Drosophila melanogaster: one gene and its partners. The protein of the gene in region 4 interacts with the protein of the main gene of each other region in a pairwise test. Each region holds a gene or a part of one and is shown on either strand. Other genes may lie near its edges. The genes, in order: Jon99Cii, Irp-1A, CG15198 and CG9083.

Region 1 (7,375 bases), on a different chromosome or scaffold from region 4:
GTATCTGCTCTTCTCCGACGACGACGTGGTTTCGCTGGAGCAGTGGGTCTTCAACAGTGCAGGCCATTTCCTGCCCATTAAGGGCGTGAACCCAATGTATCGTCAGCATAACTCATCGAACTAAACATTAGCCAATTACCAAAATAGTTAGCATCTATTTAAAGTTTAACTTTTAATGCAGACATGTATAAAAAACTTGTGTGATCTAATACTTTCACAATGAATTACAAAACCTAATTTCTAATTAGCTGGGAGCACACACATTGAGCACACCTAAAAGCACATACACACATAAATGTCAAATGTCGAACATTGGCCCGCTAAACCATCGCTGGCATCCGCCCTAGAGCTCTAGAGCTGGCTGTTGGCCAGGTGGTTGTCGATGACCCGCTGGATGATCATCAAGCAGTGGCGCTGCCTGGCCACCGTGTTGTCGATCAGCTGTTCCGTGAACTGACTGGCCGCAATGTTCGTGTTGGGCGGTATATCCTGCGTGCAGGATATGTACCTGTTGAAGATCTCCGTGTTCAGCGACGTGGCCAGATACCGCTCGCTCTCGTCCTGCTGCTGCAGCTTGTCCAGCTCCTGGGCGGCCAGCAACAGCTGATCCTTGGCCTTCTGATATGATTGCAGCTCCTGCAGGCTGGCATACTCGGCGCTGCTCAGTTTCACGGACCTGCCGCCGTCTTTCGTCATCTGGCGAATGTGGTACTTGCGCTCGGCCACAAAATTACCGAGCAAGTATCCTGCGAAACCACGACACACAAGAGTGACTCATTAGGCGCTGTCCTGTGAATGCACTCACCTGTTATCAGCATGAAGAAGCCAATCGTTAGCACCAGGGAGGCACAGGTGCGCTTGGAAACGTACTCGCGGAACTCCCGAGAGCTGTTGGCCCGCACCGCCGTCTCGTAGCTGAGTACCTGGTGCATCCTGATGACCTGGTCCCCTTGGGGATTATAATCTGTGGGGCCTGCTTGGCCTAGTCACGTCGAGACACTCGGATGTGTCCTTCAGAACTGGGTGGGAACATGGTGCTATCGGTGGTATCTAGTGCCTAAAGCATGGAATTTGTAATTAAACATTAGAAACTGTATCTGTGAGTTACAGCTGTAAGTTTCTTAATTACTTCGATATGTTCAAGGATTTAAGAGCGCGGAACTTGGAATGATATAACACCTCTTGGTATGTCATGTCAGGATTTAATGTTCTCCTTTCACATTTTTAGTTTGAGCACTAAAACCGCAGTGTCAATGCCCCGAGTTCCTGTTCTGGCGATGCCGCTGATACGGAGGAGCGTGACTTAATCGCCCCACCTTAAAAGGCAATCGCGAAGCCCGTTGTTATGGGCATCGCACACGGCAAACAGCGCGGTCCTTTAAACGCTTCGTCGAACACTTTTCACTCACTCGCTTTATAGGATATCGTCGGCTTGGCTCGACTCTTGTGCTGCCAGGATGGGGTACATATGCATTAAATTAATTAATGACTGCACTTTTGTGTTGCACTGCCCGAAGGAAGTGGGCTACAAGTGTGGGAATGTCCTTTGCGAAGGGAGCGCGCTCAACTTTTAATTGTATTATTTATGCTTTATTTACTCGTCGCGTTCGCTCGGATCCTTGCGCGTTATCCTTGCGAGCGGTCTGAATGCCCGGACGCCCAGTCGGGAACTGACTCACGCTTCGTTGGGGGTCGGCTTTAATAGCTCTCCGTTCTCCGTTTTCCGTTCCGTGTGGTGAGTTTCCTGCCCCGATATGTTGCACATTTCAGCGTGGCACTACGTCGGCGGAAGGACGGTCAAGGGGAAGCTCGGAGAATGCAAACAAAGGCATTCCCAGTAGCTTCCTAATGAGGAATGGGTCCGCCATTTCGCCCACTCCGCCCGAGGCGTTCCTCAGAAACTATATCGGATTTCAAGCCATCGCCTCACTTTGAGTGATACTGCTGCTCCGTAGTTCCGAAAGTGGACCTCCCTTTTGATTGCCATAATCGTATTTTCTTTTCTGCTTCACTATTCCCTGCAATACTTCAAGGATATCACATGACCCTCGATTGCCATTTCTGTTCCTTGGGGTTCTTTGAAGTCCCCCCCATGACACCTTGCTTGCACATTTTCACTTGTTGTGCTGTGACATATATTACTGGGAATTTATGCATAAACTCAACCATTGCATACAATTTGAATATATATTTTGAGGTACGATTATAAACTTTTGCTTTTCTGAACTTGAAGTACATAATCCCATAACGCACTCTATTACTAAGTTAATCCATTGGGTGGCATAAATTAAAATAATTTATTGCACGATAAGCTTGTACACTTCTATATGTGCATCGATAGTGACTTCATTGGTCTATATAAAAGTGTGAGACCAACAGGAGATTTTAGTATACAAAATGAAGGCTTGCGTACCCATATTGGCAGCCCTTTTTGGATCAGGGAGCAGACTGGCATTTACTATTAACCATGGTTAATAATTCTTTATGATTTAATAAAATTAAATGAATTAAATTGCTTGAACTTGTATCCACTCAGAATTGATTGAAGCACTCAAAACACTCTTATTCCCTTTGCTAACACTTCATTCATACTGCCAAACACTCGTCTTGAGTATCTGCTAGTATAAATCAAACTTTTTCGTTGATAAAAGTGCTGCGAGATAAGATTTCGCACTTTGAATTAGCATCGATAGTGATTATGGCTAAGCTATATAGTATTGGGACCACCATGGGAGCCTTTTAGTCTTTCAATATGAGGGGTCTTACACTCTTGTCGCTCGCCTTCCTTGGGGTCTGTAGTGCCCTAACTGTGCCCCATTCGCTGGTCCATCCACGCGATCTGGAGATTCGTCATGGAGGGATTGAGGGTCGTATTACCAACGGAAACCTGGCGTCCGAGGGTCAGGTTCCCTACATCGTGGGTGTGAGCTTGAACAGCAACGGAAACTGGTGGTGGTGCGGCGGATCCATAATCGGACACACTTGGGTGCTCACTGCTGCCCACTGTACCGCTGGGTGAGTTATTTGATTTCACAAATAATTAACGCTCTTTGATAAATCATCGTATTGCAGTGCTGATGAGGCTTCACTGTACTATGGTGCCGTCAACTACAACGAACCTGCCTTCCGCCACACAGTGAGCAGCGAGAACTTCATCAGATATCCCCACTACGTTGGACTCGATCATGATTTGGCCCTGATCAAGACTCCCCATGTGGACTTCTACAGCCTGGTCAACAAAATAGAGCTTCCCAGCCTGGATGACCGATACAACTCTTACGAAAACAATTGGGTTCAGGCCGCCGGATGGGGTGCCATTTACGATGGCAGCAATGTGGTGGAGGATCTGCGAGTGGTGGATCTGAAAGTGATCTCCGTGGCGGAGTGCCAGGCTTACTACGGAACTGATACCGCCTCCGAGAACACCATCTGTGTGGAAACTCCGGACGGAAAGGCCACCTGCCAGGGTGATTCTGGTGGTCCTCTGGTCACAAAGGAGGGTGATAAGCTTATCGGAATCACTTCCTTCGTCTCCGCTTACGGATGCCAGGTTGGAGGACCGGCTGGCTTCACTAGGGTCACCAAGTACCTGGAATGGATAAAGGAGGAGACTGGAATCTATTATTAAAAAAAAACTTTACTAATTTCAAAGCAAAAAGGTGCTTAAACAAGTTTTAAATAAATGAAGAACATATGCTGTTATATTTTGTGTATTATTAATTTCTTGGAAGATAGTGGCATATTCATGTTTAGAGATAAAATTACCAATAATACATAATCAATACATTACATATTACATAATACATACCATTTAATACATTACCTATGTAATATTAACCTATTAGTGTTTTATTTTTTGATAATCTAAAAATCAACTTGTTGAGAACAAAAACTGTACAATGTGCCGTATGAGTAATATTTTATCACACTTTTTTTTGAAATTGGTAGTAAATACTTTCAATAAACATTATTCAGAATTTAAATTTCTTAAAGATCATAAAATACTTTACTCCTCATTTGGGTAATCTGAGTATATAATATATTTTAGGTGAAGTGAATGTCCTTACATGATACTATCATACTGAAGAGTAAGTTGCAAATAAGGCACATGTCATTCCACTTCAAATTTAGGCCATAATTTACAAAAAAAAAAAATCACCTGTAGTGGACTTATCAGTCGACGATGGCTCGCGATGATAACTTGATTAAAATTTACTGCCCTCCCATTTTACATACGTGTGGAAGGAAGGGCTCTTGGTCGAGATAAGACTACGGACCACTTCTGTATATAAAGGCGCTTCGACATCGGAACACCATTGAGTTGCAAGACTTGACCAAGATGAAACTGTTCGTATTCCTGGCCTTGGCCGTGGCCGCAGCTACTGCTGTGCCCGCTCCCGCCCAGAAGCTGACCCCGACGCCCATCAAGGACATTCAGGGTCGCATCACCAACGGCTACCCAGCCTACGAGGGCAAGGTGCCCTACATCGTGGGTCTGCTCTTCAGCGGCAACGGAAACTGGTGGTGCGGTGGCTCGATCATCGGCAACACCTGGGTCCTGACCGCCGCCCACTGCACCAACGGAGCCAGTGGAGTGACCATCAACTACGGAGCCAGCATCCGCACCCAGCCCCAGTACACCCACTGGGTGGGCAGTGGCGACATCATCCAGCACCACCACTACAACAGCGGCAACCTGCACAACGACATCTCCCTGATCCGTACCCCGCACGTCGACTTCTGGAGCCTGGTCAACAAGGTTGAGCTGCCCAGCTACAACGACCGCTACCAGGACTACGCCGGATGGTGGGCCGTGGCCTCCGGATGGGGCGGCACCTACGATGGCAGCCCACTGCCCGACTGGCTCCAGTCCGTCGATGTCCAGATCATTTCCCAAAGTGATTGCAGCCGCACCTGGTCTCTCCACGACAACATGATCTGCATCAACACTGACGGAGGCAAGTCCACCTGCGGAGGCGACTCTGGTGGCCCCCTGGTTACACACGACGGCAACCGCCTGGTCGGAGTGACCTCCTTCGGATCCGCCGCTGGCTGCCAGTCTGGTGCTCCCGCCGTCTTCAGCCGCGTCACCGGATACCTGGACTGGATCCGCGACAACACCGGCATCTCCTACTAAGCAGTTGATGTTCAATAAACGATTATAGCAAAAATGAAAAATTCGACCAAACTATTTATTCAGTTGTAGATTGAGGGGCACATTATTGAGAGCTAAATATTTATATATTCTATTATGTACATTAAATGTACATATATTATAAAACTAAAAGTAATCTCATATTTTCCTTAAATGTTTTTAAAACGAGATTGTTTAACTTATTTTTATATCCTATTTTTATATTCTATCCATATGATAGCTGTTGAACGCTAGTAGCGACTATAGGGTATTCCTATATTTAAAACTGTTTAAGCTAGGAAAGTCCACTTGCAGCTATTTATAATAACATAAATTTATATTATGTTTATGCACTTTAATTATGTTGCAAATATAACAAGTCCAATATTCTACATACACCATTTTCAATCCAGTTTGCTTTTTATATACATAATATACATAATAATTATAAACAATACATAATAATAATACATAATAATAAGACGTATGATCCATATATATATATTTGCATATAGTCCGATGGTTCGTCATTATGTGTTCCTAAAGCTTGATTTTTTCCGATACATAAATCGGAAATCGGAATAAGTTTATTTCCGTTTGCAGTTTAATATATTTCCCTTCACTTGGAAATATTTTATTGATTTCATTACTTAAGCAAGAAGACATCTGAATCCCATCCCAAAAACAGAACTTGAGTTGCTTGCTATAATCGTTTATTGAAGAAACCCCTCAGAATTAAGGAACATCAACTGCTTAGTAGGAGATGCCGGTGTTGTCGCGGATCCAGTCCAGGTATCCGGTGACGCGGCTGAAGACGGCGGGAGCACCAGACTGGCAGCCAGCGGCGGATCCGAAGGAAGTCACTCCGACCAGGCGGTTGCCGTCGTGTGTAACCAGGGGGCCACCAGAGTCGCCTCCGCAGGTGGACTTGCCTCCGTCAGTGTTGATGCAGATCATGTTGTCGTGGAGAGACCAGGTGCGGCTGCAATCACTTTGGGAAATGATCTGGACATCGACGGACTGGAGCCAGTCGGGCAGTGGGCTGCCATCGTAGGTGCCGCCCCATCCGGAGGCCACGGCCCACCATCCGGCGTAGTCCTGGTAGCGGTCGTTGTAGCTGGGCAGCTCAACCTTGTTGACCAGGCTCCAGAAGTCGACGTGCGGGGTACGGATCAGGGAGATGTCGTTGTGCAGGTTGCCGCTGTTGTAGTGGTGGTGCTGGATGATGTCGCCACTGCCCACCCAGTGGGTGTACTGGGGCTGGGTGCGGATGCTGGCTCCGTAGTTGATGGTCACTCCACTGGCTCCGTTGGTGCAGTGAGCGGCGGTCAGGACCCAGGTGTTGCCGATGATCGAGCCACCGCACCACCAGTTTCCGTTGCCGCTGAAGAGCAGACCCACGATGTAAGGCACCTTGCCCTCGTAGGCTGGGTAGCCGTTGGTGATGCGACCCTGAATGTCCTTGATGGGCGTCGGGGTCAGCTTCTGGGCGGGAGCGGGCACAGCAGTAGCTGCGGCCACGGCCAAGGCCAGGAATACGAACAGTTTCATCTTGGTCAAGTCTTGCAACTCAATGGTGTTCCGATGTCGAAGCGCCTTTATATACAGAAGAAGTCCCTTGTCTTATCTTGACCAAGTGTCAAACTACCCATATGTTGAGCTGGAGGGCAGTAAATTAATGTCATCCAGATTACATAGGAGCAAAAAGACAAAAAATAAACAACGCAGAGGCTTGTACAGCAATATAAAAAACGTAAACTTATCAGTGTTCAATGATTTGCGAATCAGTTAAAAATACAATAAATTTAATGTTAAATACTACTCATCGGATGCAATTCATAAAATCATTTTCTACGTGGGTACATTCAATTTGTTTAAACACATAAGTATCTTATCGGTGCCATAAAGCAAATCAGCATTGATACTATAGATTTTTACGATCATGTTGAGGGCTTAGAGATATAATTTTAATACAGATGGCCATAAAATGAATTTTATCCCGCAATCTTGACGGTTTCCGGTGGGGAGACAGTGAAAGTGCAACCTGCTACGCAAACCCAGGGAAAATGAGCTCTTTCGCTTTTCTCGTGGAGAACTGAGCACATAACTCACAAGGGTCCTTAAAAGCTAAATAAGGCAGGAGTTTTGTTGGAGGCCAATGAATCATTGAGTGCAACCCAGTTGTACACTGCAGAAAATCATGTATAAACCCAACATAGCATTTAGTTAATGGGAACTTAT
Region 2 (9,536 bases), on a different chromosome or scaffold from region 4:
GTTCCCCCACACACACACACACACACACACACACAGATTCCAGACTACTTCTAGCAACAGCCACCGCTGCTACCTTGTCTGAAGTCTGAAAAAACAACCCACCCGAGCACCATGAGTCCATGAGTAATCTGTCTTTGGATTCCCGCTCTGATGTTCCTCTGAATGGCGCCCACGCAACTGGAACTTTAGCTTCAGCTCCATTGGAGCATGCTAACTAAGCCGAAGCCCTCGATACTCTGCTCATTGCCGAACCATAAGTAATGCGCCTACTTTATAAGGGTTTTTTTCTGCACTCAAAAGCACTAGAACCCGCTAAAAATATGTATTTTCTGAAGTCATTCTAAAAATCTAAAAGGAAAACGTATTTGATGCATGAAAATAAACACCCTCAATCGAGAATGAGCTGTTCTGTCAGAGTTTCTTACTAAAAGAGAACTTCTGGGAAATACCCAGAATAGATATAAAAACAAAATTTCAATCTGTTTTTGCATTGGATTTTTATAGCAGCGTTGAACTTCTAGTTTAATAGATATATAAAAATAAAAACCCCCGCAAAAAGTAGCTTGTGACTTCAATTTTATCAGAGTTGATAATAATAAATGAGTAAATGGAGATTCCAGGTAAAAATAACAAAAAATAAGTGCAACTTTGTAAAGTCAAAGCAATACAAATTATATATTCATTTAGTTAAGTGTAATGATTCATTTCCCTGCCATCATATTGCTCTAACCATTTATAGACGTTATCATTTAAAGAATAACATGAAATTCCATGTAGTGATTAAAACAAAGTACACAGTTTCCTGTACTCTTGCTCTTTGATTAAGGCTATGGCACATCTGGTACTATTTTGTAAATAGATTGATATGAAAAAGTAACCCATCCAAGATCATAAAGTTCATGTTCGTGTCATGGGCATGGTTGATTATTTCACCATTAGCAGACTTTAAAAATAATCCGGAAAATGTAATTCGACTGGCTACGGCGACAAAACACACCCCCAAAAAAATATAAACATATTTATGTGCCCATCTAAAGAGCAATTTCAAGTCGACCAGAGCCAAGGCGACGCAAAGCCTCCCTTCTCAAATCGCAATGTGTTTCACTTTCGTTTCACTTCCGCTTTAGAAGTTCGTATGATTTACCACCGGGTTTCCTTCTGCCCGCAAGGGAGGATGGATATGGGGATGAGCCGTTTTGAGTCGAATCCAGTCGATTCGGTGGCTGTCACAACAACGACAGCCGCACAACAGGCGGCCATCATATGATTCCTGCCCTCTAAACTCCAGCGGGTTGTTTAAGGCGGAGACGACACCCTCGGCCATTGCTCACTGATGGAATTCCGCACAGCGCTGAACGTTTGTTGGCAATCTTATTAGTGGCATAATTGAACGACGTCCACGTCCTGGCATCATAAGCATCATATAACGTTGTCCCTTGGGAAGCGCCGTTCATTAGGGGCGCTCAAATCTGGTGACTCAATTGAATTAGATGCCCAGAAGTTACACGGATGGAAAAAATGTATGGCACAAGACAGTGATTGTCTTAAATTTACATATCATTTAACACAAATGGAAAACAGCATCTAGAAATATCTAATGATTCTTTAAGTAAATCATTTGGTATCTCAAAGATAGCAGATACCTTAAAACAGTTTACATCCCCTTGAATATCACTAAGAACTTATTATTTCCATGAGATGAAGCTGCATTTCTCTCTGTGTAGCTTGGCACTCACCGAGGTCAGCGACGCGTATGCCGAAGCAGTTCAAGTCCTTGTTGAGTGGTGGCTGCAGCGGCAGCGTAGCGGGGGTGTTGATAGCCGGCACCAGAGCTTCTTGCGGGCGTTTCCTGGCCACGGCGATGCCAATGGGAACGGAGTTGCCTGATAGAATCGTAATTAACCGATGAGGAGTGCTCTTGACCAGTGGCTGGGTGTCACCTACCTGTGGACTTTTCCAATTCCGATACCTTTGGCGAGGGAGCCTCTATTTTGACGAGAGTGGTCAGTGTGGAGGAGGACATGGTCTTGGAGGAGGCGGTCATCGAGGCGGAAGACAGGCCCTGATGCTGCACCTGGTGCTGGTGGTGTTGGTGATGTTGCTGCTGTTGCTGGTGGCAATTGTTCGAGCTTATTTCGGACACCTGGCAGGGTTCCCTCTTGATCTGCACAAAAGTGTACGACGAGTTGGTCTGCTGATGGTGATGGTGCTGCAGGGGAGTGGCCGTCGCCGCGGAGAAGCCTCCGAATTGATCCAGCTGCAGATGGGCGGTATGGGCACCAGGATGCGATACTGCCGCAGTGGTGGGCACCAGAAAAGTAGCCGTTGCTGTGGTGGCGCTCAGAACGTCGGCGGCACTGCTGCTGGCGCCAGGATTAAACGTGGCCATCGGGTAGCGGTGGCTGTGCACATATATGTATGGCTACCGCTCCCTGGGATCTCTAGCCTATACCTATTTCACTATATATCTTGCGGATTCGACCAAAAACTAAACGTCCATTATCCGCACACACAAACACACGTGGACACACACGGCACACGGACACACACTAGCACTGGCCCACACACACACGCACACAGTCTACATTTTTACAGGTTTTCGCTGCCTCTTTCGGATGCAACATTGGCTACTGGGCCTGCGGCAATTCCCCATAAACAAATGACATAATCCAAAGCGACGCGACGCCACTGGGCACTATCCACAGGTCGAGGGAACCGAAGCACCCACCAGTCCAAGTGCGGTTGCCCAAAATAAAACCCTGTGCGATCCGAGATCTTTTCTTTTTTTTTGTGTTTTTTTTTTTTGGTGGGGAGGCGGAGGCGCGACTTTCCTGCTGCGTTGTTGCGTTTTTGCGCGGTTCTTCCAAGTGAATATCGAGCACTGGCTGCAGAGCTATTGGCCAACACACGATCTGTTGCTTATTTATGTTTTTCTTTTGCGAATTGGAATCAAAATCCTCTGGAGAAAAGTCCACGGGACGGACAAAAAAAGAAGCAGCGAACTATGTTAAGTTAACAGCGATATAACAGGGACTATTCGATTTTATTGCTGCCTTGTCGATGATTCACCAGCAGGCGTTAGGCATTTTTAGCAGGACTGGTTTGGCCATCGGCATTTCTGCTATCGATAACATCCAGAGCGCGCAATTTAAAATATTATAAAATATTTGAAATATTTTTTTTTTAATAATTATCATCTCACAGATGAATGTCAAATTTTATTTCCCAGCACATAATAACAATTAAAAGTCGCCTAGAAATGCATATGGAATATAAAAGTCAACGAACGCACTAACTAATCCAGCATTTTGCGTATCATATAGTTCAAAATGCCGCCATTCTTGTAGTACGTTATGTCCACCTCGGTGTCGAAACGCAACGTGGTCTCAAAGACATTGCCATCAGCATCGACCTGAATCCTCTGGCCCGGCTTCAGTTCGCCCTCGGGCAGGACAATGTTGTACACCTCCCTGCCACTCAGTTTCAGGGTATCGGCGCTCTGGCCAGGCAAGAACTGCAGCGGAATGATGCCCATGCCCACCAGATTTGAGCGGTGAATGCGCTCGTACGATTCAGCAATCACCGCCTTGATGCCCAGCAGAAATGGCCCCTTGGCGGCCCAATCACGTGAGCTGCCACTGCCGTAGTCCTTGCCTACGACCAGAACCAAAGGTGTTCCTTCGCTCGCATACCGTTCCGCCGCATCGAAGATGTCCATCTCCTCGCCACTGGGCACGTGCAGTGTGCTGGGTCCCGTCTTGGATGCCAGTTTATTGACCAGACGGATGTTGGCAAAGGTTCCGCGTGCCATCACCGCATCATTGCCACGTCTGGATCCATACGAATTAAAGTCGCGCGGCGTTAGACCCCTTTCCGACAAATAGCGCGCTGCCGGTGACTTTCGTGCAATGGATCCGGCTGGCGAGATATGATCGGTGGTCACTGAATCACCGAGAAGCAGCAGACAGCGAGCCTTCTCGATACCTTTAAGTTTGGGCAGCGCACGAGTCATACCCTCGAAGAACGGTGGTAGTTTGATGTATGTTGATATTTCACTCCATGGATACAACTTGCTATCCGACACCTCCAACGTTTGCCAGTCCCTGGATCCCAGTTGAATTTTGCCTGTGATAGCGGACACAGTTAGCCTAGAGCTGCGGAAAAATCTTAGTCAGCTAGCTATACTCACTGTACACCTCCTGGAACATGGCGGGAATGACGTGCTTATGCTCTACCTCCTGAATCTCACTGCGCGTTGGCCAGATATCGCGCAGGAACACCTCCTTGCCGTTGGAATCCACGCCCAGCGGTTCGATCTCGAAATCAATATCCACACGGCCGGCAATCGCGTAGGCAATCACCAGCAGCGGACTGGCCAGATAATTGGCCCTAGTATTGGGATGGATGCGACCCTCGAAATTGCGATTGCCCGACAGGACGCCACAGCAAACCAGTCCGTTCTTCTCGATGGTGTTCACTACGTTCTCATCGAGCGGGCCCGAGTTGCCAATGCAGGTCATACAGCCATAGCCCACAATGTCGAAGCCCAGCTGCTCCAGATAGGGAATCACACCGGATTCCCTCAGATAGTAGGTAACCACGCCAGATCCTGGTGACAATGAGGTCTTGATATACGGCAAAATACTCAAGCCCTTCTGCACGGCATTCTTGGCCAGCAGACCAGCGCCCAACATCACCGAGGGATTCGAAGTGTTCGTGCACGAGGTGATGGCGGCAATCACAACAGATCCATGACCTATCTTATAGCTCTTCCCATCGTCCCATTGGAATTCACCACTTGCAGCCAATGCACTCGGTGGTATGGCGAATCCCTTGAAGCCGACAGGACTTATGAGGCACGACTTGAAGTCTTCGCACATGCTGGAAACTGAAACGCGATCGTGCGGTCGCTTGGGCCCCGAAACCGAGGTCACCACGGTGGATAAGTCCAAAGTTACAGACTGCAGGGTAAAAAAGTGATTCGTTAGTATGTCTTTGCATTGGAAAAACAGAATCTCACTTACCTCCGTGTATTGGGGATCCTGATCCACAAGGGAATAGTCACGAAGTTGTCGAGTGGCCTTCAAATACTTCCGGATAATATCGATTTTCTTCTCGGAGCGATCTAATGATCCACATCCATGGATATCAAGTAATAAATTTAGATAATTTTTAAGATTGACTCACTGGTTTGGCGCATGTAACTCAGCGTGTTTTCATCGATTGGGAAGTAACCCACAGTGGCTCCATATTCCGGACACATGTTGCTGATGGTGGCGCGATCCGCGATGCTGAGCTCTGCCACTCCGGGGCCGTAAAACTCCACGAACTTGCCGACGACACCAAGCTGACGCAAATGCTTGGTAATGGTCAGCACCAGATCGGTGGATGTGGCCAGAGGGCCCAGTTTGCCCTCCAGCCTGTAGCCAATCACCTCTGGCAACAGCATGGAAATGGACTGGCCCAACATTACGGCCTCCGCCTCGATACCGCCAACACCCCAGCCGAGAACACCTAATCCATTGATCATTGTAGTGTGGGAGTCAGTGCCCACAACGCTATCCGGATAAAGGATCTTAGATCCGTCCGCTGAACTGTCGCTTTCGAAAACCACTCGGGCCAGATACTCCAGGTTAACCTGGTGCACAATGCCAGAGCCGGGTGGCACAATTAGCATATTGTCAAAAGCGCGAGCTCCCCATTTGAGGAAGGTGAATCGTTCCTTGTTGCGCTGGAACTCTAGTGACTCGTTCTTGGTCAATGCGTCCGAGGAGCGAACGAAATCCACCTGAACGGAATGGTCGATGACCAGGTCGGCAGGGCAGATGGGATTGATTTTCTCAGGATTGCCGCCCAGCTCGCGGACAGCATCCCGCATGGCAGCAAAATCCACGACGGCGGGAACGCCAGTAAAGTCCTGAAAGCAGGGAATATCTTAAGAAGTCACATACAAACATAATCTATGTGATGCAATAATCCACACCTGCAATATAACACGAGCTGGCTTGAAGGAGACTTCCACATCGCTGGTTTCCTGCTTCAGCGATGGAGTCCATCCCAGGATGCTCTGCACATCCTTCTCCAGCACATGAAAGTTGTCACAGTTGCGCACCGCTGATTCCAGCAGAACGCGAATGGAAAAGGGCAGTGACTCTGTGGGGGGTTAATAATATTCATAAAGATAACAACAATAATGATAACGAACAACAATAACGATTACCAACCATATTTGCTGTCGATGGAGGGCAGATCAAAATACTTGTAGACGTTGCCGTCCTGGGTGAATGACTCCTGGAACTGGGCAAAGGGATTGGCGCCTGCAAGGAAGACAGGATTAGCGTACAGATCAAATACTCCTTTTTCCAATTAAATCCCACCGGAGCCGGACATTGTGGAAAAATTAAACAGAAAACCAAGCAATGTGATATAGAGATGAGCGCGTGAGGAACCGCTACCAGGCAAAACTTGCTCATCACTAACGCAAACATTATATTATCGATAACTGAACATGAAAACAAACCGGTACACAGTAAAAAATATTTATTTATTACTTAAAATGAAACATTTGTAAATTATAGTGGAATAATTTATCATTTTTGTGATTCGAAAATAATATTGGATATAATATTGGATTGATTGCTTTTTTATTTTAGTTCAAAATAAGGTATTTAAAATAACTTGTTTGCATGTCTTTAAACGCTTTTCCCTTCCTACATGCTAATTTCGTTAAATAAACTTAAATATTAATTATGTTTTCTGCGGTTTATTGCAATAGTTACATGGTAGGCTTATTGTAATGTCACGTAGTATAATTGGTATTTGTAATCTATATAAATAATATGTATAGGGGATTATCATCTAAAGCTGCGTCGGGATGCAAAGCCTGTTTTATGGCGCAAGCAATTTGGCAGCGGGGATAACAAGTCTGTGATGGACGTCTACAGGTAGATTCGTCGCAGGTCCTTCGGCGTGGTAATCGAGTTGCACTGCGGGCACAGCTTTCGCGCGCCGAGCGTCTGCAACCAACACTGCTCGCAGTGGACGTGCCAGCAGGACACGGAGATGGCGGGATTCTTGTAGTCGTCGATGCAGATCAGGCACTTGTACTTGCCCTGCGCCTGCTTTTCGTAGAGCCGCAGCTTGGCCTTCAGCGATTCGATGATCTGCTGCTGGTTTTGGGAGGTGGATCGCGTGGACCGCGACGTAGACGGCTCCTCGCTGGCTGGTGGAGCCTCCACGTTGCTTGTGCTGGCAGGCTCTTGCTCGGTGGCTTCGCTGGAATGGTTTGGCTTGGGCCCATCGCTGGAGGAGATAAGTCGGCGCACGTAGCTGGTAACATCCGCCTCGGAAACATTTCCCTCTGTGTCCTCGTTGACCAGTGGGATCACATCGCCCTCGCCATACTGCGTAGGACCATAGATGTGAGTGTCATCCTCGTCCACGTTGAGATCTTCGTCCTCGTCGTCCTGCGCCTGCTGACTGCCATTGTATTTGATTCTCTGGCCCAGGCCCAGGGCGGAATAGCCTCCTTGCACGAGAGTGGAGACGCGAATGCGCTTCTGTCCCGCCCACTCGTACTCTTCATATTCCTCGCTGTCCTCCGAGTCCTCACTCGAATGCCGCTCACCATTGGCCTGACCATTGCGGCGGCTCTGGCGCAGGCAATGATTAACATGCTCTTGGATGTTGGACTGCGGAAAGTTGTGGTTGCACACGGGACAGGTGGGTTGGCTCGATTCGGCAGCAGCTACGGACGGAGTTGCTGCAGCTGGAGGAGGAGCAGCTGCTACCGTAGGATTTACAGTTGCTGGTGGGGCAGGAGAAGCCGGACGCTTCCTGGTGCGCTGGCGCTGACGGGCCTGCCGATTGCGCTGCACCCGCTGGAACACGCTCCACGGTTGTCTGCCCCCCGATACCGAACCGGATTCCTCGGACGCGGTTGCTCCGCTAGTTGGGGTCGGTGGAGTGACAGCGCTAATGGGATTGTGCAATCGCTCCATCTCCACTTGGCAGTGATCGGCCACCTGACTGCGCTTGATCTTCACGTCGCATGTGGGACAGATCACGTCGTCGTCGCTGTTTCTGCTCAAGTGCTGGGCGAAGTTCTCGCCGTTGGACACCGTGTCCGTAGCCATCGATTCCTCGGATCCACCGCGGACTCTTAAGGGTAAACGAAGTTAAAAGATTCTGTAGTCGGATTTTGTTTTGTTCGATAATCTCTGTCCAAGCCACGCGACGCCGATTTCTTACGTTCTCGTACGGTGGAAAACGGTCACACTGATTTCGTTATTTTTCGTGTCAGTGGAAGTGGTCATTGCGATATACATCGTAAAACCGTTACAAAAGCGCCAAGCACAGTGATTAATATGCTTAAGCAATAATTAAAATTTTATTCACTTAAAAATATCTTTATAATAATTGATTATTTGTTTGAATTCCGTGTTAATTAAAACTTCAAAGTTTGCATTTTGCATTCCAACAACTCTTTTGACCTTAAGTCTTACAATAAAATAATTAAACGTACTGATTTCTTAATTTTTACTCTACTCTGGTTGGTCTTAATACAGCAATATATATATATTATCAGATTGCGTTGTTTACATGCCCGATATAACATGTGACAGATAGTGTCTCTCCCTCACTGTTAGGAAATTTTTATAAAGCACAGCCCCCGCTTTGATAAAAGTTTAAACATCCGAAATGTAAGCTATTTTAATTTCCTTTCTTCGTTAAATTAAATAATTTGACGGTAAATGTAAATTAACTGATAGTTCCATGGCACTTTATCGCTATCGAGAAATGCCCAGCCAAAACGATAGTATCGAGACAACATCGATTTAAGTTCCAGCTCTATGAGGGAAGCAAAACATTATTATTTTCGTCGTTTTTATTTTTTGATTATATAGAAAAGTCAGTGGTCGAGGAACATGTGAAAGTGGAAAAGCGACAGAGCTTTTCAAGCAGAGTGTAAGTGCATACAGGTTGAACCCAAAACCGACGCATATTTTTGCGAAAGTGCAAAGCAGACGGCGAGAGTGTGAAAAGGCAGCGAAAAGAGAATAGAGAAAAAATATAGCAGCCAGTTTCTCCTGGGCGTGAGTGTGTGTGCGTGTGCCATATTGTTAAATAAGGCAAATATAGTAAAATAAACGTAGAAAAAACAGCAACAACTATGCATCAGCAGTACCAGCAGCAGCAACAACAACAGCAGCAGGGTAACCTTGTTGGCTACAACAACAAAATGAACGTCTTGCCCAATTACACGCTCAGCGGAATGAGCTCCTTTGATGCCGAATCGCTGCCAGATTATTCAGAATTTGATTCCGAATCGGTAACCCTGGACTATTACAAGGAAAGGTATATTCCTGAACTCAAACAGATCGCATTTTGTTTTGCTTCCGTTCTTCCGCATAGCACACAACACACACACACACATATATAAACATACGTGTATACGAATTCCCTCGCCCTTGCCATTGTTGTTGTTTTGCATTTGGCCGTTTGCCCCAATTTTGCCTGCCGTTACCGTTACGTTC
Region 3 (7,369 bases), on a different chromosome or scaffold from region 4:
TTTTGTTGCACGTGGCATCGTCGACGGCAAAATGGGTGAAATGCATAAATCATTTGGCAAACAGGTGCTGGCAAAGAAAGCAAAAGCAAAAGCACTGGCAGCAGCATCGACTGCAATTTTGCCAAGTACCAGGACGAGTGCACACACACACACACATGCACACACGCACCCACACAGAAAGGCGAACACACATACATATGTACATACATGGTGTCCTCGACAGGGATGCCAAAATAAAACCCAAAAAAAAAAAAAAAAACAAATCAGAGCAGAGCTGATGAATGCTTTCACACAATTCAACTAAGATTAAGTTCAATACCGAAAGGCGTTACTTTTTACTTGTGCACTCTAAGGTTAATTATAAATAAATAAAAATATATAATCATTCAATGGGTATTGCAAATGTTAATTCAAGTAAATTAAATTCCAAGTATTCTTACGCAAAGATACGTTTACATAAGTTTTTTTTTTGCTCCTATATAAATTATAGAATCTACTTTTTAAAAATGTTGAAATGTTGGGCTAAAAGTAAATGGTTAACTGCTTCGAGTATGACCAACTTTGCAACACTGTTCGGTTGCAGCATAAAGGTTGCAAGGTTGGCGGCATAAAGTGTTCAGCTCCTTGTTGCTGTTCCTGCTGCTGCTGCTGCTGATGGTGCTGCTGTTGTGCAGTTGCATAAGTCTATCAATAAATAATAAATTTTTACTTCATTGAATTTGCAAAAGCAATACGTTCGATAGACTCCAGGCCGAACGCACCGCACTCCTGCAGCGCCCCAAACGATTGGGCCAAAGGATGATGTGCATGTGAATGTGGATGCTGCTGCTCCTGCTCCTGATCCATTTGCCAGTTGCCAGCGAACCATAAATGATGCAGCTGCAGCTTCAGATGAAATCCATCGCAACGGCTTGCAAATGTACGAACGAATTTCTTTCCAAAAATAATGCTCCCCGAATGGGATTCCACTCGAATCGTTTATTGTTGAACAGTTAACGGGAAAACTCTTTAGCCGCCGAAAATTTAAGTAACCAACTGGCTTTCTTAAATAATTGGCATTCAGCCAATGATCCATTGCTATGATATAACTAACCAAAGGATTTCTGAAACACCACATTTTGCAAAAAATTCATACTTTCAACTAATTCAATTTGCTATAACTTGGCCAAAAAAGGTCACCCATTCAAAAAAAAAAGTACTTTTTTATACAGCTAATAAATCAAAGAAACGATTTCTATGACCATTTTGTTAATTTGATAAAATAAATTTTTTTCAAATTTTCAGATTTTTTATAAGGGGTAACATCATCATTTTTTGCGAAAAATTGACAAAAAATTACATTTTTAACTGTGAATGCCATTCGAAAGGCAATTTTATGACGAGTTCAACGAGGTATGGCATTCCATGTTTGGATAAATAACTTTATTGCTATGAACAAAATAATGATTATATTTTGTTGAAAAATTGGTGTTTCATTTTGGCAAAATGATGATTTTTTCGAAGAATTCAGTTTGCTATAACTTGGCCAAAAATGGTCACTTATTCAAAAAAATTACTGTTTTATACAGCTAATGATCCAAATAAACGATTTCTGTAACCGTTTTGTTAATTTGAAAAAATTGATTTTTTTCAAATTTTCAGATTTTTTATAAGGGGTAACATCATCATTTTTTGCGAAAAATTGACAAAAAATTACATTTTTAACTGTGAATGCCATTCGAAAGGCAATTTTATGACGAGTTCAACGAGGTATGGCATTCCATGTTTGGATAAATAACTTTATTGCTATGAACAAAATAATGATTATATTTTGTTGAAAAATTGGTGTTTCATTTTGGCAAAATGATGATTTTTTCGAAGAATTCAGTTTGCTATAACTTGGCCAAAAATGGTCACTTATTCAAAAAAATTACTGTTTTATACAGCTAATGATCCAAATAAACGATTTCTGTAACCGTTTTGTTAATTTGAAAAAATTGATTTTTTTCAAATTTTCAGATTTTTTATAAGGGGTAACATCATCATTTTTTGCGAAAAATTGAAAAAAAATTACATTTTTAACTGTGAATGCCATTCGAAAGACAATTTTATGACGAGTTCAACGAGGTATGGCATTCCATGTTTGGATAAATAACTTTATTGCTATGAACAAAATAATGATTATATTTTGTTGAAAAATTGGTGTTTCATTTTGGCAAAATGATGATTTTTTCGAAGAATTCAGTTTGCTATAACTTGGCCAAAAATGGTCACTTATTCAAAAAAATTACTGTTTTATACAGCTAATGATCCAAATAAACGATTTCTGTAACCGTTTTGTTAATTTGAAAAAATTGATTTTTTTCAAATTTTCAGATTTTTTATAAGGGGTAACATCATCATTTTTTGCGAAAAATTGAAAAAAAATTACATTTTTAACTGTGAATGCCATTCGAAAGACAATTTTATGACGAGTTCAACGAGGTATGGCATTCCATATTTGGACAACTATTTACATTGCTGTAGGAAAAAGACTGATCATTTTTCGACAGACTATAGAAAAAATACGAATGGATTATTTTTCTGGGCCTTTTATTTTTGTATTTGGGGCTAGCTTGGTGTTGCGAGTTAGCCTATTCAAATAGCCAGTTGGTAGATAAAGCTTTCTGATCCAATGTGAACTTCCTCTGGTTCTAACCACAGCCAGGACCATCGATGCGAGCGCCCTCCATGCAGGGATACGGCTTGCATGTGGTGTTGTTGGAAGACGACGCACCCTGATCCCCTCCAGTGCCCGCTGCTCCGCCCATACGAGCGGCGGCGGCCAGGACCTCGACGGTGCTATATATGTTGGCCACGATTACCATGCCGCCCGCAGCTCCGCTGGGCAAACTGTTGGGATCCGTTGCATCCGTTGGAGAACCATTGGTGGTCGTAGTAGTTGGCTGACAGTTGGGTGAGCATTGCTGGCCGGGAATCTCGGGAATGGCACACGCCTTGCTGGGATGTGGGCCAATGTAGAAGGGATTGAAGGGTTTGTCGTCGGACTCGAGGGTTTTCATGGTGATGGTGAGCGCAGCAACGTTTAAACGGCAAAGGTAGAAAATGTGGAAAAACACGGAGTTATTCACACGGAAAAATTTTGAATTTTTTTTTTTTTGGCTAGTTTTCCGAACTGTTCGGTGTAAGGTTTGCCCCAATACTGAACAAAAGTCAACCACACGGATGGTTTTATCTATGCGAGTTTCATTGCGAGGCCTACTTACTTGGGATAACAAATGTTTAATTTAGTTGTAATATTTTGCATAAATTTAATAGGTTACAATGTGCGTTAGCATCTCAATCGATGTGCATTGGCAACTTAGTTAGCCGCAATTTACTGAGAAGGCAATTGTCTAGTTTAGTGTATCATTTAGTAAATAGGATTAAAATGGGCTAACAAGTGCGCTTACAACAGCTTTATAATTCACATACGCACACACACGCACACACATACGCATGCACGCATACTAACAATGCAACGCTGCTGGCAAATGGAATAAATGGAAATTCCTGGAAATAGTTTTCTTTGTTATTTACTCTATTCCGATCAAATTAAGATAATTAGAAAATAATATGGGAACACGATAAAGTACCCAGCTTCGAAAGCATTTGGTACAGTTTGTTTGTACTGTTTTTGGGAAACTAATTAATTCCCAAATGAAATTAAATTAAAGAAATTGATCGGTTTAGAGACCTAAATGCCTTAGTATCGGAACTAACATATATATTCTGCTCGATTTTACTCGCTTCTCGCAGATGCGGCACCGCTTAACCCCAATCTGCCTAACAAAGTGACCGCCGTAACCATGTAACTGTCCAATATGCTACTAAAACCACTAAAACCAGCCAGCGACAATTAAAGCCAGCCGCTAGAGAGGATCGGGAGCAGGAACAGGAGCAGCAGAAGGAGGTGGAACTCTAGCCGCTCCAGCAGTACATAACATACACTGAGAGAAACATTATGGCCGGGCCACAGGTGCAGCACAGCCAGCGACCGAATAGCGCCTACTACACGGGTCTAAATGGTGGTTCCGGCAGCGGCGGCGGCGGAGGAGGAGGAGGAGCTGGAGGCGGCGGCGCAGGTGGTGGATCCTCCGCCGGAATGTCAAGCAGTGCATCGCACACCGGACTGCATGCCCTGCGCCAGGTGAGCAACGAAACGGAGCTCATCTATCGTGGAAGCCACAGCAATGGCACCGTCAACGAGCTGCCCTCGAGCGCCCAGCATCACCTGCTCACAGGTCGAGCGGTCCAGCAGCACCAGCAGCAGCAGCAGATGCATCACCAGACGGTGAGCAGCATCGCTGGCACCGGATCCAGTGTCACAGATGCCCTCATCAGCACCATTAACTCCGGCGGTGGCGGTGGTGGTCCCTCCGGCAGCAGTTGCTCCACGGCGGCATTGGGCATTAAAAAGTCCAGCACGCAACGCAGCATCGAGATTATTGTGGACGCCAGTCAGTGCGGCAAGGAGCTGGTGGCCAGTGGTCCGGGTTCGGGTGCAGCGGGCTCGGGGGCAGCGATTGTCTCCACCCTGGACGTGGAAGATGTGGAGCAGGGCGGTGGCGGTCAGGAGTCCTCCTCCTCGCATAGGAAATCATCGCGCCATCGGCATCGACCGCTCCACCGGCGGCTGATCACGTATCTGCGGAACCTCTTCCAAGGCAGCACCACACAGAATGGTAAGGCAGCTTTTGTAAGAGGAGCAACTGCATCCACTTGGGCATTTCATGCATTTTCCTAAGCTTCTAGTTTTGAGCTAGATAATTTCTTGTAAGGAAAGAGGGAAACCCGAAACTTAGATATGTGATATGATTAAAGTACATTTGTCAGTTTCTTAAGAAGTTGTTTTGAATTATATTATTTCAATTGGTTAAAAAAAGTAGTTAAATTTAACCTTTTTAACAAATGAAAATTTAAATATTATCATTAATGATTTCTGTTTCTAAAGAGCGTTTTTTTTTTCACTGTAAAGTTTTAGTTTTTCAAAAGCACTCTTCCACTTTCACTTGTCACCCTCTGTTTTATATTCTTTTCAGAGTGTACTTTACATATTTGATTTTTTCTTTTTGATTTCTGTTTTTTTTCTTTCTGTGTAGCTGTGAAAACTCTGCTGGTTGCCTGGGGCTGCATCGCAAAGCGTAAGCGGCAATGTCTGTTCTTCACCCGTAGAACCCCTTAACCCTTACCCTAACCGCGCCGCCTTTAACCCGATTGTTGGCCATGACTAACCCCTGCCAAAAAACGTGCTAACCATTTTCAGTTTGGGTCAATTCATGGCCATGAATCCACAGCCGTTGGCCTGGCCGCGTTGCAGATATACATATTTTTTTTTGTTTTTGTGCGCATCTTGAGGTTGGCAGGCGGGAAAAAACGCTCGTAAAACGCGCCTGCGGTTCCGCGGCTGTTTTTGTCGCCTGGCCGAAATTTATGCATGGCGAACTTTTTTTTTTTTTGCGAACGAAAAATCATCAGAGCGTCCTTGAATGGATTTTCTATTGAAAATCTATTAGGCGTTTGCGGTGTATGTATTTTTTGTTGTTGTGGGCGACGCCTGAAGCTGGAAATTGCTTGGCCTCTCTCTATTGTGTTTGAAATTTTATTTACGAGTATTTCAGGACCTGTGAAAAAGTAATTTTAGATTTAAGGTGATTGCCGTAGGCCAAAAATAATTGTTAAAGATTAAATTGAATTTCATTTTGAAATTCTTTTATTGTTATAATTTTGTTTCCTCGCAAAAAATGTGCTCTGCCAACGCGGCGTATGATTTATAACATATTACTCATGCGCCGTGTTGCCATCAGCATAACATATTAAATTTCCTAAATATTGTTAAGTAGATTCACGAATTTGAAGCCCAAATCTGTTTGCCTGTGGCGAAGGCACAATCAATCAAATTTGTATAAGTTCTTTTATTTTTTTGGGAACCCTCAACGGATTGTCGAGCAAAACTTTTACATTGTTACTTTCCAATTCGATTCGATTTGATTTGATTTAATCTGAAGAGCAACGAAATCCTTCGCTTAACCCTTTTGTGTCTGCTGTGTCTTGCATGATTAATTATGGAAATTGATGGAGCTCCGGGTGCTCGTGCTCCCCAAGTTGAGATTGCATTGATTGTTTACGGCTCAACTATGAGAGCGGATCCCCTTTGGCTCCTTTGGCTCCTTGGAAGTTCACTCAGCCATCGAGTCCTTCGAGCAGCTTCTTTTGTCAATTTGCCCGCCCAGAGCTCTCCGTCTTCATCGTTGTTCATCCTTGTTTTTTGTCTGTTCCGCTTAGTTCCCTGCCATTCAGTATTTTCCCTATTCGATTTTCCCGCCCAATTTCCATCACCCACACCCCCACCCCTTTTTTTGCCATCGTACAAGAGCAGTTGGCAAAATGATGAGCTCAACATAAAAGTTGCATGGCTCATCCTGAAAATTGAATGCAGGAACGGTTGGAGAGGAAATCGATATGGAAAACAATATAATATTTGTTTGTCAGAGCTTTGGATTCGAATGTTTTACACTGAGATAAATATGGGGTTCATTTGATGCCAGAGTATCAAATACGTCGTCAAAGGTAAACAAAATAATGAGTAAGTCTTGTTTGCATTTACAAGGGAATATAAATATAAATATCTAAATATATCTATTTTCTATTAAATTGTATATTGAGTTGATGCCGATGGAAATTGTGGCAGTGGATTAGCGTAGCTGGCCATGGGTAACTGTTGACAATGGCAGTAGACAAGAAATCGAAACTCTCGGAGCACAGGAACTTTGAATCTCAGTCGCCCACACTTGACTCTCACCACTTTCGGAGAAAGTATTTTCGACATTTGCAATGGGCGACGGATTTGCAGCTTGGCCAGCGATGAGAAGCGGCGCAAAAGTTTTATTGAAAAAGTTTGATGAATGACAAGTTGGCTTCCTGCGAAAAGCAGCGACTCCATTGCGCCAGCAGCCCCCAAAAATAAGCAGCCAAAAGTCCACCCAACTTTCGGCACTCCATTTCTCATACCTCATACTCCATACCCAAGTGACAAATCGCTGGCTTATGTTATCAAATGACATGGCATTTAAATGTTATTTAAGGCCAGAAACTTTAATTGAGTTTAAAGCGCGCGCAAATTGAATTTAAATTTGTTTTAGTGGGCGAAACTTGTTTGGCGGCGAAATAACGAGCATTTGTGGTGGTCATTTGGCGGCAAATTGTGTACAAAATTGTTACAAATTAAATAAAAGGCTTATGGTAATAAAATATAGTTTATATACATATATTTGTTGAGTCATTAACAATTGAAAACGGTATTTCATTTAGTTATATTTTCCTATTGTTGTGCACCCACATCTCTAATTGA
Region 4 (7,701 bases):
ACAGCGACACCTGCACGCCAACCAAAAGAAAGACGTGCACAGTGGTTCTGCACACACAGAAGTCTTTTGACTGGAGTTGCACGACTTCTTTCCATAGAGAGCAAGTTTGTTTTATTTTTTACAATTTTATTAATTTCTCGGCCTATTTAAGTTCACTTCTGCATATTTTTATCCCTGAAACCAACAATTGGCTTAAGAATAAACTAGCAGGTCAAGTTATGAGCTCAAAGATTGACATTCTTCAACAGCCACCCACAGTGCCATATAAAAGGCAGTTGGGGTGGGGGGACCAAAGGCATTTCCTTTTTGTGCGTGTTGAGCGTTTTCCTGCCACTTCCCGAACTCCTGTCCTGCTGTCCGGTCCTGCTCATCAACATAATTAAATAGCATTGCTCATTGTGTGCCGGTTGTGCCTTGGATACGGGGCATGTGCTTGGGTCTGGGGCACTTGGGTCCTGTGTCCTGGGTCTTGGCCAATAAAACGAAAATGGAATCGAACCAGCTTAATGGCGGGGCAGAGTGACCCTAAGGCCGTTTAAATAAATGATAAACAAATCGAAAATGGGAAGCGCTTTTGTCGGACCGAAAAGTTTCGGCTGATGACTGGCCATAAGTTACGCAATCGTTTTTGCAGGCGCCGATAGAGAGCGCCATTTGTCCTTACAGCAGGAGTGAGTGGGTGGGCCTTGGGTTGATAAGTGGGCGCAGGGCGCCATTGTCAGCGGAGTATATTCACTGGGGAGGTGAACAATGCACAAAGGCCAGCAGGCGCTGCCATCTGCGGATTACGAATATGAACGGAAACGGAAACTAATTAAATATGTAGAGCAATTGTTGCTGCATCTCGCTTTATCCTACCGATTCACTTTTTCACTTTTGTTTGTCCCGCATCACTGCAGCCAGTGTTTCGGTTTCTCCTTCGGCTCGGCTTGGGCTGGGGCTTGGACCGACCACCTTCCTTTCCGCCTTGCCAGTCTCGAATTGGATTTGGTTTTTGGCCAGGGCCAGGAAGCAGTCGAGAGCAAGCGCCCCAACTGCGAGGGGCGTAATTGCCCTACCCCCTAAGCCTCCGCTCCGAGTCCAAATCCCAATCCCATTTCAATTTCCATTCCCATTCCCGTCACCATTGAACTTGCTCAAAGGTCTGCGCAGCTGCAACTGCAACAGAGGCAGCAATGCCAGTTGCAACTGCAACAATGGCTGCACTTTAAACAACAAACTTTGAAAGTTAAACCAGGAAATCCGAAGCAAAGCATGCAGTACATAAGGAGTATCAAGAGAGCACCATAATATAGCAGAAAATCGAATTGACTTTTTCAAGACTTTCCCCACAATTCTAAAACTGTTGCCCACAATCTCGTGAATCACTTGTAGCACACCTTTTTCTCTCTGTGTGTGGATGCAACTGGTTTTTTGGGAAAACCACGACATTGCACGTCGCTAGTTGCTTTTAGTTTCTGTATCGGTGTGCAATTTCCTTTTTGTTTTTGGGCGCTTTGAGAATGACTTTGCTTCCGCGTGAAGATGCGACGGCAGGTCTGGAGTTTCGAGTCGCGAGCCCGGGTCGATTATGCAATATGGGGAAGATGTGCGTCTTCGTTGCATCTGATGTTAATGTGCGACCGCCAACCGGTTGCCCATCGTCATTGCCGTCATCGCCGGGGCAGCAGAAGCAGCTTCATCATCGTGAGCGTGGCCCTCTCTAGCTGAAGATGTAATCCCCATTGAAAGATGCTCTGATGGCACTGGAGTGCAGCCCATTTGCTCCAGCTCAGCGGCTTCCAGTTCGAACTTCATTCGGCACAGCATCGTGATTATGACCGGCGATGTGGCTTTATTGGCAACAGATTATTGCGTCGGTGTCCCGCTTGCTGCTCCCAGCTAGTTCCTTATGTAAGCCCGCTTTGTTTACAATCCGAAACAGTTTAAATGTATATTAATTATTCGGCAGTGATGGAATCTGCCGAGCGAGCAGTCAGCTGCCTAGCTCCGTAGCTGCCAGATGAGAAATGATAATCAGCGACGTAATCGAAATGGCCGGATGGCCCCGATTCGCTGGCTCGGCCCAAGTCACTCACTGCTAATGAAAACAGTGGCTAATCAACGGCGAAAGCATGGCGGCGGGGGTTGTTGGGGCGTCCAGATTGGTGGGTGGGTGAGTTGGAGGTGTTGGGTGGCCAGTGGCCATGACCTCTCTCCGCTGCCAGTCGGACATCTTGCTGATGTAAGCGCGAACAAAACCCACGGCGCGTTGCCTTTTGCCCATGTTGCAGCGCGGGGGCATGACAAGATATTTTTGATGTTGCTGCAGGCGAGGCTTAACCCAATAGCGCTCGAGAGCCTCTCGCCAAACGGCGACCTGACCTGGCCCAATCCAAAGAACAGTAACTGGCTCCTTCCCTGCCTCACAGCCGCGGCACCACTGCTTCGCGTTGGTAAACAAAATTATATTGATAATTTCCGGCACTGGTACGGCCATCAATGGGTTAATGACTAGCGACAGTGAGCAGCCAGCGGGCAGCAGCCAACCCGGCCAACCCTTGGCCAATCGTTATGCAAGTCTGGACCAACAATAAGGAATTGCCAATAGGAAGTTCGTCGTATCTACATAAAAATCCATAAACATGAACGTCAACAAAATACCTAACGGTTAACAACCAGCATCGGCGATGTGATAAAGTAGCAATAGCAACGAGCTCTGGGCCAAAACTGGAACTGGTCAAGTTGCATATTACCACAGTTTGAGTTTCGGTTTTAGCTATTTTCGGCCGCCAGCCCACGAAGCTTAGGGCCACTCAGATTTTCTCTCGAAAGAAAGTAGAGCACAGAAGCGAATGCTCCTCGAGAGAGTGTGTTAGTGCACTGGGAGAATCCGTGTATTACAATTACAAAATAAAAGTCTTAGATTTAGAAAAACATTTTTATGCAGTATCCAAGCTGCTTTCGTAAAATATGATTTTCTTACGTAAATATAGCAAAAGGAATTTAAGATATCTTTTAGCGATCTTAAATTGGTCTACGAAACCGGTTTTGTTTATCATGTAAAATATTGAAAATGGAAAACCAAAGATGATTGATACACTTAAGTTGGCATCACACCATGGGATTTAAAATAATTTTGAGTCACAGACCCTTTTTTACGTTATCCGTGTGGTATTGCAATTGGGCACATGCTGGGGATGATGATGTGAAAGGTCAACACTCTCGCGATCTTCAGAAAGGGAGAGTGAAGACTGGATGGCCGAGAAGAAGACGAAGACGAAGACGCGGCCAGTTGGCCTTCAATGGGTCGCGGTCGTGAAGTCTCCAGTGGTCTGGCTCCACTTCATTCAGCTCGTCGTCGGCGAAAGAGATTATCTCTGCACTTGCTCAGCGGCAAGCGATCGCTTATATAACCGCATGGCTCCCGAGTGGAGAAGAGGGCTATAAAACGGCGTGTGCCCATGTTTGCCGAATCATTTCCAGTCGGTCCAGAGGCGAGCAATCATTCGAGAGTCCTTCGTAACGAATCCAGAGAAATGGCAGCCCGTTTCATAGTGAGTTTGGCACGACACCACGTCAGTTCAGGTGGATCCTAACACAGATTCCCTCCTCCCACTCCCAGATCAGTGCGCTTCTGCTGGCTAGCCCAGCGGTATGGGGAAAGCCCACCTTCGGACGAGAGCATGTCCACATCCGTATTCACCTGCCAGAGAGCGGTGGGGATCACGGCGGCCACGGAGGCGGTGATTTTGGCGGCCACGGAGGCGGTGATTTTGGCGGCCATGGAGGTGGAGGCTATGAGATTCACTCCCACGATGGCGGATACAGCGGCGGTGGAGGAGGCGGTGGTCATGTGAACACCTATGCTGTTATCACCGAGAACCACGGATACAGTTCCGGGGGTGGCGGAGGCGGTGGAGGTGGCCACGGATACAGCTCCGGCGGATATAGTTCCGGTCATGATGATGCCAAGATTGCTGCCATCGCTGCTGCTGCTGGCTCGTCCTCCGATCACGGACATGGCGGACATGGAGGCAGCGGCGGACACGGCGGAGGTTATGGTGGCCATGCCATCGCCAACATTGCAGCCATCGCCGCCAGCTCAGACTCCTCTGATCATGGTGGCAGCGGAGGATACGGCGGCTACAGCGGTGGCGGTCACAGCGGAGGAGGTCATGACACCCAGGTGATTGTGGCTGCTGCTGCGGCTGGAGATTCACATGGCTCTTCCGGCGGATACGGCGGCGGATCCTCCGGTGGATACAGTGGTGGCTCCTCCGGGGGCTACGATGGTGGATATTCTGGTGGATCCTCTTACAGCGGAGCCTCCTCCTACAGCAGCGGCTCGTCCTACAGCTCTGGAGGATACAGCAGTGGACATGGCGGTGGCTATAGCAGTGGCGGCGGATCCAGCTATGATACACAAGTGGTGGCTGCAGCCGCTGCTTCAGGCAGCGGTGGCTCCTACGGCGGGTCTTCCGGCGGCGGTGGCGACGGATACAGCTACTCAGCGCCGGCCTCAGGCGGCTGGGCAGGATCCAGTTCAAACTGGAAGTAGACGGCAATGTCCGTCGTTGGCCATCTGGTCGTCTAGTCTACTGTTCACGTTTAACTTATATTTGACATGTTCGCTCATCCATATTCCACACATTCTCCCAAGATACTGGTGTACAAAATAAACCATGTTAGTGTAATAATTTAAGCCAGCCGCCCAGTATGTGATTTACCTAATGCTTGCCCAGTTTTTGCCGATTTTTCTCCGCCTCTTTCATCGGAGCTATATAGTGGCGCTTAAACATGTCATAGATGGAGAAGTACACGGCACTCATCAGTCCTGCCTTGAGTAGAGTAGGCAACATTCCCTTATAGAAGCCTCCGATTCCTTCCTCCCGAAACGTGGTGGTGATGCAGCCCAGGATCGTAGGGCACTCGGGGTTGCGACCAAAGGTCTTACGTTCCTGTTTGAAGGCCATCAGCTGGATGCGCTTTTTAAGCAGGTCCGCCGGGTACACGATCATCTTGGCCAACACCCCTGACAGCGCCCCATTGAGAAACAGAAATGCGCCGTGGATTTCCTGGCGCTGGTCGGGAGGCTTGGCCATCAAGACAGCCGCGTTGAGGTACTTGTAGAAGAGAAAGTTTGCCCCTACCAGCGGAAACACCTGCACAAGCGTGAAGGGTAGTCCTCGGGAAAGTCCCATCCACCCCTCCATCTTATAGACCTTTCGAAGTCCGGTAAAAGTGTTCATCTGACTGCGGCGCGAGGAGGGGTCTGCGGCCACCATCTGTGTTCTTACCACGTCGAACGGCTGGGCGGCCACGGCTCCCAGACATCCGGCTATGCCGCCGCAGATGAAAAACATGAGAAAGGGTCGCTCCCTCCAGTAGTCAAACTGGTGGGCCATGGAGCGAAGCTGTTCGTAGGACCAGAACTGTACCAGAGCGTACGAAATGCTCAGAACCTGGCCGGAGTTGTGACCACGGAACATACCGCGCATTCCCTCCTCGGCGTACACCGACTTGAAAGCGTGGATGACTCCACGGTATTTGGACCCCTTATGGTTTGTCACCGGCTCCACTTGCATCTGGAATCGGATCTTCAGAACGTCCAGCGGCTGGGTTATGGTCCGCGTCGCAGCTCCGGCGATTCCGCCGCCGACGGCCTGCATTAACTGGACTACCACCGAGTTTTCGGGCATCGGATGTGGCGACGAGCAGTGGACGGATTCACTCACGGCAGGAGTTATTCACTGTACAGATGAGGACGAAGTGGTGTGTTGTCATTCCGCAAGCTAAATTTCCTGCTACTGTATAAGAAAGTGGCTAGGCTTTTATTAAGCTCTGGCCAATTACACAGTATTTTCCAATTTAATATTTAGTCGAAATTTTAAAATACACAATAATTTCTCTGACAAGAATGTAAAAGCTTAAAATTTTTAAGGTGTCTACGTACTTTAGTTGGGGTCTGCATGTGAATGTACATACATTTCTATGCTTGTGTTGGTTGTCGCATTATTAATCCCTTCGATCTCTTTCAGCTGTCGCCAAGCACCAGGTTGTCGCGTACACGCAGAGGTCGCAGGTTAAGCACGAGAACCGGCACATCCAGCTGGTGCGGGAGTACGGCTTCCACCCGCGCACTAAGGCCTCCGTGGAGGACGGCGACGTGCTGCCCCGCAAATTCGAGCCCTTTCCGGAGCACATGTACGGAAAGCCGCTGGAGGAGATTGACACCTTCATTTACGAGGAGGTGAGTACTGCCGCGTTCAACATTCCCTCATTATCCGCGGCCTCGCCTCACTTGGCCGCCCATTGGCTCTAATTAAAAAGTCACAGGCAGGCGACCAGACCCCAGATCCGTGTTCTCATGGTAGGGCAATCCTCGTGGTGGCAGGTGCAGGCGGCGGAAATGGAACGCGGCGCGCGGCTGTTGTTGCTTTTGTTTTCATACCGCCGTCTCGCTGCACTTGCCCCATTGTAGGCACAAGTGGAAGTGCACTTTGGCTCAGGGAAACTGGGGTTAATGGAAACGCCTAGAACGGCCCTCGAAAACCGAAAAGGAAATCAGGGTAAATGCCGTTCGTTCGTTAAATTTCAAAGCCGGGAATAAATTTTGGAACTGTGTACATCAAACAAAGGACACACAGTTGCAAACACGTCTGCCCAAGTGTTAGTGCAGGCATGAACTCGGTGCTGGAAATATGGGTCATGTCATGCACAGGGCTCCGGGCAGCAAAGTTGACAGCCGTATTTACGTGACTCAAACAAACTGGCCGGAGCCGCTGCCGCAGCAGCCGCAGAGGACAAATTATAGGCGAACATGCAAGTGTACTCAAGACTTGGCGGCTTTCGCGCCACGTGTCGTGGCGAAATAATTCCGAAAAGCGGCCTAGCCGGACGAACTGGACTGGGACTGGGCTGAATAAACATGCAAGTGGCCAGCCCACGGGGCTGCACTATAATGGGAGTTACGGTGAGCGATAAGATGAGCGTACCTGTGACGCCGAGTGATGTGTTTTATCGATCTACCTGACATCCCACTAAGTCCAAGACAAACAAAGTCCGGCAATCTATAATTAAATCTTATTGGCGACACGCTTGCAGTCCGGGAACATCCCCTTGCGAATCTCGACGCTCTTTCTGGGTCACTCCTGCGATGGGTGCTGCAATGTTGTCCCACATTCTATAATTAATTCCTGATTGGTTAGAACAGAATATCTCCGGTTGCCCAATCTGTTGACCGCAGGGCTTTGTTTAATCCATTTCACAGAATCAGCCAACTCGCACAGCACCTACATTGCAGGGTACCTCCGAGTAATTCTGGCGTCATCGAAACTTAGTATTGTGACCAGTGATTGTTTAGAAACAATACAGTTGGTCTCATAAGCTTTTTGATTTTCAATTCAATATGCTCTGAAAATAATGCAGGGTATTAAATAATTAAAACTTTCGACTATTTCATTTTAATAATAGCCAAGGCAGTGCTACTAGGCGCGCTCAGTGACTATTGTTCATCTCTGATAGTGTCCTGGGAACTAGGCAAACCAAACATTCTTAGACCATTGCTTTGAGTAACTAACCCAGTGGCTCCCATCCGAAGCCCTTACTGCTAGTCTCCGATGAAAATGGGTTGCATGGCTTTTAAACAGCCACTGCAGGTGCAGAATCAAAGTGCATTGCATTGCATTTTAAAGGCCATCTGCTGGCAAACAACGCCCG

The links.
Region 1: the proteins of CG9083 (region 4) and Jon99Cii interact in a two-hybrid assay, tested with the Drosophila melanogaster proteins (one large-scale study listed by BioGRID).
Region 2: the proteins of CG9083 (region 4) and Irp-1A interact in a two-hybrid assay, tested with the Drosophila melanogaster proteins (one large-scale study listed by BioGRID).
Region 3: the proteins of CG9083 (region 4) and CG15198 interact in a two-hybrid assay, tested with the Drosophila melanogaster proteins (one large-scale study listed by BioGRID).

What each region holds. Positions count from the first base shown.
Region 1 is NT_033777.3:29,921,552-29,928,926, reverse strand, and holds Jon99Cii (jonah 99Cii), read left to right. Parts: upstream 1-4,311; 5' UTR 4,312-4,339; coding exon 4,340-5,137; 3' UTR 5,138-5,173; downstream 5,174-7,375. Other genes in the region: alpha-Man-Ic (alpha-Mannosidase class I c), read left to right, coding at 1-124; CG15522 (uncharacterized protein), read right to left, coding at 352-746, 806-932; Jon99Ci (jonah 99Ci), read left to right, coding at 2,753-3,015, 3,073-3,628; Jon99Ciii (jonah 99Ciii), read right to left, coding at 5,888-6,685. UniProt on the Drosophila melanogaster protein: Major function may be to aid in digestion.
Region 2 is NT_033777.3:22,718,135-22,727,670, forward strand, and holds Irp-1A (iron regulatory protein 1A), read right to left. Parts: upstream 6,454-9,536; 5' UTR 6,391-6,453; coding exon 6,378-6,390; exon of another isoform or gene 6,318-6,377; coding exon 6,225-6,317; exon of another isoform or gene 6,214-6,224; intron 6,154-6,213; coding exon 5,984-6,153; intron 5,918-5,983; coding exon 5,188-5,917; intron 5,126-5,187; coding exon 5,025-5,125; intron 4,962-5,024; coding exon 4,190-4,961; intron 4,126-4,189; coding exon 3,296-4,125; 3' UTR 3,186-3,295; downstream 1-3,185. Other genes in the region: wge (winged eye), read right to left, coding at 1,737-1,883, 1,945-2,389; RNF220 (ring finger protein 220), read right to left, coding at 6,939-8,135; CG45049 (uncharacterized protein), read left to right, coding at 9,173-9,357.
Region 3 is NC_004354.4:11,244,081-11,251,449, reverse strand, and holds CG15198 (uncharacterized protein), read right to left. Parts: upstream 3,215-7,369; 5' UTR 3,042-3,214; coding exon 2,673-3,041; 3' UTR 2,565-2,672; downstream 1-2,564. Other genes in the region: CG44422 (uncharacterized protein), read left to right, coding at 3,983-4,703.
Region 4 is NT_033778.4:24,894,824-24,902,524, forward strand, and holds CG9083 (uncharacterized protein), read left to right. Parts: upstream 1-3,449; 5' UTR 3,450-3,518; coding exon 3,519-3,536; exon of another isoform or gene 3,537-3,604; coding exon 3,605-4,540; 3' UTR 4,541-4,682; downstream 4,683-7,701. Other genes in the region: NaCP60E (Na channel protein 60E), read left to right, coding at 6,021-6,232; Tpc2 (thiamine pyrophosphate carrier protein 2), read right to left, coding at 4,710-5,681.